Linked DNA regions of Drosophila melanogaster. The protein of the gene in region 1 purifies or fractionates together with the protein of each later gene. This does not show direct contact. Each region holds a gene or a part of one and is shown in the gene's direction. Other genes may lie near its edges.

Evidence for each region. Proteins that work in one complex are often made in the same cells at the same time.
Region 2: the proteins of IntS12 (region 1) and IntS9 purify together in Drosophila melanogaster (affinity purification with western blotting, with the first as the bait; one study listed by BioGRID). This does not show direct contact.

What each region holds. Positions count from the first base shown.
Region 1 is NT_033777.3:26,861,803-26,865,059, forward strand, and holds IntS12 (integrator 12), read left to right. Parts: upstream 1-1,573; 5' UTR 1,574-1,667; coding exon 1,668-2,654; 3' UTR 2,655-2,757; downstream 2,758-3,257. Other genes in the region: Lerp (lysosomal enzyme receptor protein), read right to left, coding at 1-131, 189-405, 678-764, 835-891; ball (ballchen), read right to left, coding at 2,867-3,257. UniProt on the Drosophila melanogaster protein: Component of the integrator complex, a multiprotein complex that terminates RNA polymerase II (Pol II) transcription in the promoter-proximal region of genes.
Region 2 is NT_037436.4:16,102,858-16,107,412, reverse strand, and holds IntS9 (integrator 9), read left to right. Parts: upstream 1-1,785; 5' UTR 1,786-1,849; coding exon 1,850-1,858; intron 1,859-1,919; coding exon 1,920-3,077; intron 3,078-3,134; coding exon 3,135-3,932; 3' UTR 3,933-3,979; downstream 3,980-4,555. Other genes in the region: Zn72D (Zinc-finger protein at 72D), read left to right, coding at 1-459; CG43295 (uncharacterized protein), read right to left, coding at 985-1,437, 1,511-1,561; IleRS-m (Isoleucyl-tRNA synthetase, mitochondrial), read right to left, coding at 3,980-4,555. UniProt on the Drosophila melanogaster protein: Component of the integrator complex, a multiprotein complex that terminates RNA polymerase II (Pol II) transcription in the promoter-proximal region of genes.

The sequences.
Region 1 (3,257 bases):
AGTATAGTCGCAGGAGAACATTACATGCAGCTGGTAGTTGGGCTTGTCGGCAGTGCCATTGTCGCATTTTGCGCCGCTTTTGTACTTCAGAAACATATTTCCATTGTTGTAGAACAACTCGTGCTGACGACCTGAACAGTAAAGGTATCTTAGCGTGTGAGATACAGATAATGTGATCGTTAACTTACCCAAAATATACTCCTTTCCCTGTCTTTTGAGACAAGCTGCCACATTACTTTCCCCATTGCAGGTTCTTGAAAGATTTCCGCATATATTGAACTCGAATTGGTCGCCTCCAATGTTCATGCTCTTCACCACATGGGCCAAATCCGAGTGGAGACCACTGAAGTCGAAGGTGCTGCCGTAAATGGGCTCCTTGAGTTTACATTCCGTGGTGGAAAATTTCTAAAGAAAAAGTAAACATATTACAGTTACATATTTTCCTATTTCAAAGAAAACAAGACATTTTTTATGACTATTATCGCTTCATTATTCAGCCTATTGATTTCTTAGCCATTCGAAATGTCGGCCAACAAAGACTGGAAGTGATAAGCGAGCGAAAAACATGCAATTGGGGGGCCTTAAACGGGGTCTCGACCAAAAGGCAACAAGTGCGCAGTGAAAACAAACAAACACCCCCAAAATAAACGACCCACGCCCACTAACCGCCCACTTACCAGCTGATTGGCTGCGTCAGCGGCGACACTCTCACCGCTGCAGAAAAGCAGCAAAAGCAGGGAAATCACAATTGGGAAACGCATCTGCTGGAATGTCAGTAAATGCAATGAATAGTTTTTAGTTCAGTTTAAATGTATTCAGCATGTATCATCTTACCTGACGAAAATTTTCCTGCGTGGGAGCTGCGCAGTCCTTTTGCAAACTGCAACGCATTTTGTCACCTGCAGGCTCTGAAATATTGGCACTAAATGAGTCAAAGCGCTGGAAAGCGTTTGCAGTTTGTTTCTTTTACTGTTTTATTGGTAATTCCACCTAAGATTAGCGCTCTTTTTTCGCACACAAAGTAATTTAATTTCCCTTATCACAAGCTAACTGTTTGTTTTGCGAGAGAGCCAAGTTGTTATTGCTTTTCCAATTGGCTCTCTGCTTCGATTTTTCAACGGCCGTTCGCAGCAATTCTTCTTCTTTGCGCAGCAGAACAAATAAGGAAATGCCGGCGACGCAGTTGCACGATAGGCATAACAACGAACACAAATAGTGGCGAAATAACTATTTTTAGCTTGAATATACCTTTTTCGGATGCGGCTAAATTACCTGGCCAAAAAACAACACCCGCTCTTACCAATGTTACTTTACGTTTACAAGCGAGTGGCAGCGCTCAGAAGAAGTCGAGCTGCGTAGCAGTGTGGTAGCACTGGTCAAACAGCTGTTGGGCTTTTGAATATACATTATGTTTGAGAATCCAATACAACCAACGTGTGTAGTGTTACTTACATACTAACATTGTTGTTAACAAGGCTATATTCAGATTACATGAAATGATCCATAACTTTATTTTCATCGTATTATGGCTAATAACTTAAAATTTAATTTTCCCGCCTAAAACCTATGCACGTTGCCAAGTGAATGGCTGAAACCAAACAAACAGCTGTTGCGCGGGCATAAACTTGCATTTATATTGTTATTTACTATATCTACCCGGTATTAAGATGGCCGCAAATATAGCCGCCGCTGCTGCAGCTGCCCAAGAAGTGGATCCCGTGCTGAAGAAGGCCATCAAGTTGCTGCACTCGAGTAATCCCACCTCGGCGGCCGAACTGCGTCTGCTTTTGGACGAGGCTTTGAAGGCGCGTTTTGGTCCGGAGAAAAGTTTGACCAACAACATGACGCCACGGATGCTGGAGGATGAAGCGAACTTTTCCGGACGTGCTGCCACGCCCCCGCAGCAGCCCATCAATGCGGACGAGATCATCAATTTGACCAACTCACCGGACAAGGAGCCCTCCGATTCGGTGGACACGATTGCGGATTCGGATGACGGTCTAAGCGCCGTGGGAATAGTTAACACCGGTGACACCGGCGACTTTGGCGACCTCAATTGCTGCGTGTGCGGCGAGATGGTTTTCACGGCCACCAATCGGCTGATTGAGTGCTCCAAGTGCGGTGCCATGTACCATCAGGAGTGCCACAAGCCGCCCATAACCAAGGAGGAGGCGGCCGATGACCAGGAGCAGAACTGGCAGTGCGACACGTGCTGCAACAAGCCAACGAGCAGCGGGAGGACAACATCCTCTGCAGCGGCCGTAACGCCAACTGTCTTCATAGCCGACGAACCCATGCCGTTGACCAGCAAAGCCAAATCGTCGGTCGCGTCGTCGCGCTCATCGAACTCTTCCAACTCCTCGTCACCCTTCTACCGGCCCGAGCCCAGCAGTTCCACGAATGCCAGCAGCAGTAGCAGCAGCAAGCATGGCCACAAGTCCTCCTCTTCGTCGTCGTCCAAATCGCACAAGGAAGAACGATCCTCTAAGTCCACGGCGGCGTCTTCTCTTAGCGCCATCGGCGGAATGGAGAAGCACAACAGCAGTGGCACCTCATCGCGACGCAGCGGCTCCAGCACCAAATCCAGCTCCAAGAGCAGTTCCTCCAAGCATCACGAAAGCGGCAGCAGCAGCAAGCGCAGATCCAAGCAGTAATTTAGCATCTCTAATAATTAAGTATAAAGTTACAATCCGCATAAAATTCTGAACGTTCATTCATAATAATAATTCAATAATTCATTTTCAATAAATGATTTTTAAAGATATGTACGTGCTATCGAATTCAGTAAATGTAGGTAAAAGTAAGAAAATATTTCAAGTTTTTATTAATGAGGTTACAAATGTAAAAATACAGAAAACAAAGGCTCCTATCCCTGGTATTTCCGCACAGTGACGGCTGGTGTCCGCGGACTACGGCCGGGCGTGGAGGAGTCGCCATGGCCGTTTACCTTGCGCAGGTTAACTCGGGTCACAGGTGAGGCCTCCTCCTTCGAACTGGACGCCAACGCGCTGCGGGATGAGGGTGTACGTGAATCAACCGCCGTCGCCTTATCCTGGTCCGCTTTCTTTTTGCGTTTGACATTCACAATTACGTTGGCATCCATGCTAACGTCGAGCTCGAAGTTAAACTCATAGGTCTTCTTGGAACGCGGCTGTGGAGTGAGGTCATCGTTGATCACGGTTTTGCCACCGGGACGTCCACGCAGCGAAATAGACGGGCTGAAATTGATCTTGGCATTGGGAGTACGGAGCCGCGCT
Region 2 (4,555 bases), on another chromosome or scaffold:
TCGCTGCCCCAATGGTCTTTGGAGCTCCTCGTAGAGAAGGTCATCTCGTCGGCTGGCTTTCCCATTTCGCCCGGTGACTGCATGCGTCGCATCATGGAGGCCTTATCGTCAGGCTTTCTAATCAACGGACCGGGCCTGCTGGATCCTTGCGAGAAGGACCCCACAGACGCTCTACTCGAGTTGACCAAACAGGAGCGCGAGGATCTCACTGTGTCCGCACAGCTCTTCCTGCGCTACATTGCCTTTCGACAGATTTACAAAGTGCTTGGCATGGAGCCATTGCCGGCGATGAAGTTTCCAATGCGTCCATGGCGTGTCAACCGCAAGCGACGTAGGTCATCGGGCAAGGCAGGTGGTGCACCCGGCACGGAGACCGAGTCCAATGACATCGATGAGACCGGCTCCGATGAGAAGGTGGCCAAGAAGGAGGGTGTCGGAGGCACTCCTGCCAGCACCTAAGCGGCGAGAATAGGTTATATACACGTAGTCGGCTACTAATATTACAATTTCTCTCAAGATAAAAGCGCGACCAGGCGTCACTTAACTATAACCAACTCTAATCTATACACGAGTATTCAAACCGATTGGGGCACAAGGAGCTAAGCATGTCCAACATGTTGCCCAATCGGCGATTAGTGAATCCCAAATTACCCCAACTTTAACTAACAATATTTAGTGGATCATAAAACTTGTATTTTTCTAGCATTAGTGCAAGGCAAGGCAATGTATTCAGTTTGAATGTGAACATTATGGCCCTCACACTCATATACACAAATACTAGAACGAAGCGGATTTTAATAAAACGTATTGAACAATTATAATTAAATTATTTTTTTAATAAAGATAAGCTTAATTCATTCACGTAACTGGAAATCTTAATTGGAGATAATCTAGCACTGATAATATTCTTCGCTTTATAAATAAGTTCTAATTGAAATTAATTCAAATATATATTTATATATATGATATATAATTTTTAAGGAATTACAAGAAGTCGTTCCACTTAGAGCAAATTTTCTTAGTAACTGTTGGCATATTTTCAGCGGAACGTTTAGAGGATCGTGGCCCTGTGTTCCTGGTTTTCTTAAAGTTCATAGAGATTTCGTCGGAAAGTTCATCGGTTTTCGTAGGTTTTGCTGCAGGCTTTTGAGTAGTTTCAATGGTATTATCCACATAGTTTGCCCATTTATTTGTTTTCTTCTGAGGTGTGGTGTTTTCCTCTTTTTCTTGGCAGTCTTTCTCCTCTTCGAGCTGTTGCTTTGCCGTGAGGAATAAGCCCGTGTTCAGACATTCCTCCTGCATTCCGCGCTCTAAGTTGAGATGCTGCACCTTAACCCGGCATTCCGCTGCCGATCCTCGAAAGAATTCCTTGAGCAAACTTTGCTTTTGGCGGCAAATTTTACACTGCCATGTGCTTGCCTTTTTCACGAAGTCCACCTTGTTTAAATTAGGTATATATATATAAGTAGTTATTGAGTTCTAAGATATATTTCAGTTTGTTTGCACTCACCTGGTACATTTTGCATTGAATGCATTGTACCACGCGAATTTGCTGGGACATTATTCAAATTTGCGAAAAACCAAATAAAGAGACCAGGGATGGAAACCAACAGCACTGCAACAAGTGGAGTGAAAAAAATGTGGTTGCACAAATGTTAAAGCGTGATGACTACAGTTTAACAAGTAGTAAAACATTTACCAAAATTTGTAATTAACTAATTTTGGTACCTATGGTTAATGATTTAGCCGGGTGCTGATTCCGGTTCATAAGTGAACCAAATCGTTCCCCATCCCTGGTCCAAATATAAACAAACTTGCATCGTCTAATCGGCACTGTCGGTTTAATAAAATGCGATTGGTAAGTCATCCTGAGAAGTAAATAACAACTTAATTAGCGGAAGTGACTATCCACTTTGCAGTATTGTCTCAGCGGGGACCTGGCCAAGCCATGTTATATCATTACCTTCAAGGGCCTGCGGATTATGCTGGACTGCGGTCTCACGGAGCAGACAGTCCTGAATTTCCTTCCGCTGCCCTTCGTTCAGTCACTGAAGTGGTCCAATCTGCCCAACTTCGTGCCCAGTCGGGATCATGATCCCCAAATGGATGGCGAGTTGAAGGACTGCTGTGGCCGGGTTTTCGTGGACTCGACGCCCGAGTTTAATCTACCCATGGACAAAATGCTGGATTTCAGCGAAGTGGATGTGATACTTATCTCGAATTATCTTAATATGCTGGCCTTGCCGTATATCACGGAAAACACGGGGTTCAAGGGCAAAGTCTATGCCACGGAGCCAACGCTGCAGATCGGCCGATTTTTCCTGGAGGAGCTGGTGGACTATATCGAAGTGTCGCCCAAGGCGTGCACCGCGCGCTTGTGGAAGGAGAAGCTTCATCTGCTGCCCAGTCCCTTGAGCGAAGCCTTTCGCGCCAAGAAGTGGCGCACTATCTTTAGTCTTAAGGATGTCCAAGGCAGTCTGTCCAAGGTGACCATCATGGGCTACGACGAGAAGCTGGACATCCTCGGAGCTTTTATCGCCACTCCTGTCAGCTCGGGCTACTGCCTGGGCTCGAGCAACTGGGTACTGAGCACGGCGCATGAAAAGATTTGCTATGTCAGTGGTTCCTCCACGTTGACCACACATCCGCGGCCCATCAATCAGTCGGCGCTGAAGCACGCCGATGTACTCATTATGACCGGACTGACGCAGGCGCCGACGGTAAATCCGGACACGAAGCTGGGCGAGCTCTGCATGAATGTGGCCTTGACGATCCGCAACAATGGGTCTGCCTTGATTCCCTGTTATCCTTCGGGCGTTGTCTATGACCTCTTTGAGTGCCTCACCCAGAATTTGGAAAACGCTGGCCTAAACAATGTTCCCATGTTCTTTATTTCCCCTGTGGCAGACAGCTCCTTGGCGTATTCTAATATCCTGGCCGAGTGGCTTAGTTCCGCCAAGCAGAACAAAGTGTATCTTCCAGACGATCCTTTCCCACATGCCTTTTACCTTCGCAACAACAAGCTGAAGCACTATAACCATGTGTTCTCCGAGGGCTTTAGCAAGGACTTCCGGCAGGTTTGTCTAACATAATTGTGAAAACTTCATACTACAAATTCTCTGTCTTCCTTACAGCCCTGCGTGGTCTTTTGTGGCCATCCTAGCTTGCGTTTCGGCGACGCTGTTCACTTTATCGAGATGTGGGGCAATAACCCTAACAACTCCATCATATTCACGGAGCCGGACTTTCCGTATCTGCAAGTACTGGCGCCCTTCCAACCACTGGCCATGAAGGCTTTTTACTGTCCCATCGACACCTCTTTGAATTATCAGCAGGCAAATAAGCTGATCAAGGAGTTGAAACCAAATGTGCTTGTCATCCCAGAGGCATACACAAAACCACATCCCTCGGCCCCAAATTTGTTCATTGAACAGCCGGATAAGAAGATAATAACGTTCAAGTGCGGCGAGATCATACGTCTGCCATTAAAACGGAAGCTGGATCGAATTTACATTACCTCGGAACTGGCCCAAAAGATATCGCCAAAGGAGGTGGCGGCCGGCGTGACCTTCTCCACATTGACAGGAGTTTTGCAAGTTAAGGACAAGGTCCACTGCATCCAGCCATGTGCGGATAGCGTTAAAGACGAGACCATCTCGAGCAACAGCGCTCCGACAAAGGAGGATGTGCTGAAGAACGTCAAATACGAGTATGGCAGCATTGATGTAGATGCAGTGATGAAGAAGCTGGCACAGGATGGCTTCTCCAACATCAAGCTAGACCGCACTGGCGGCGCTCTGACTCTGAACCTTGTCAATGAGGACACAGTCATTAAGTTCGAGGACAACGAGACGCATATTATCTGCGGCGGAAAGCCAACAACCCGGCTCAAGCTGCGAGACACCATCATGAAATGCTTACAGAGTTTTTAAAAACATAAATGTATTCCTTACACCTAAATAACAACACATCATTACGCTTAGTTCTTTGCCTCCATAACGTCAGAGCAACGTTGACACGTTTTCTGCTCATCCTCCAGACCATAGCGACGACAACGTGGGCACAGTGATATCTGAAGTTTACTTAAAGCAATATCCAAGTCGCTATTATGGGACTGTAAGAGCGTAACTGACCCCACTTGCAATATCTCGCATAATTCAGAATTGCTCACAGACTCTCCAAGAGGGCTGTGAAGTTCTCGCAGCAAATCCAGCTGGCTTCTTTCCTTTCCTTTGATGGTCACGGCCAAGTGCCAGGTGTTAACATCTCCAGCCTGTTGGTTAATAAGTCGTTTAACATCGAACGCTGCATTAATCACTTCAGTGGCTTTGGTGTCCTGCCATTCAGGATTAGTCTGAACAATTTGCTCGTGGAATGCACCACCTGTGGTGTCATAGTAGCTCCAGCTTTCCTCCACCAGGAAGGGAACAATGGGCCATAAGCTCTTGCAGAGTTGTTGATAGCAGTGGGTAAGAGTTTGACGAATGGCCAGTAGCTCGTGATCATCACCACAATAAAGACGATCCTTGATGAGATGCACATAGACGGCGGACAC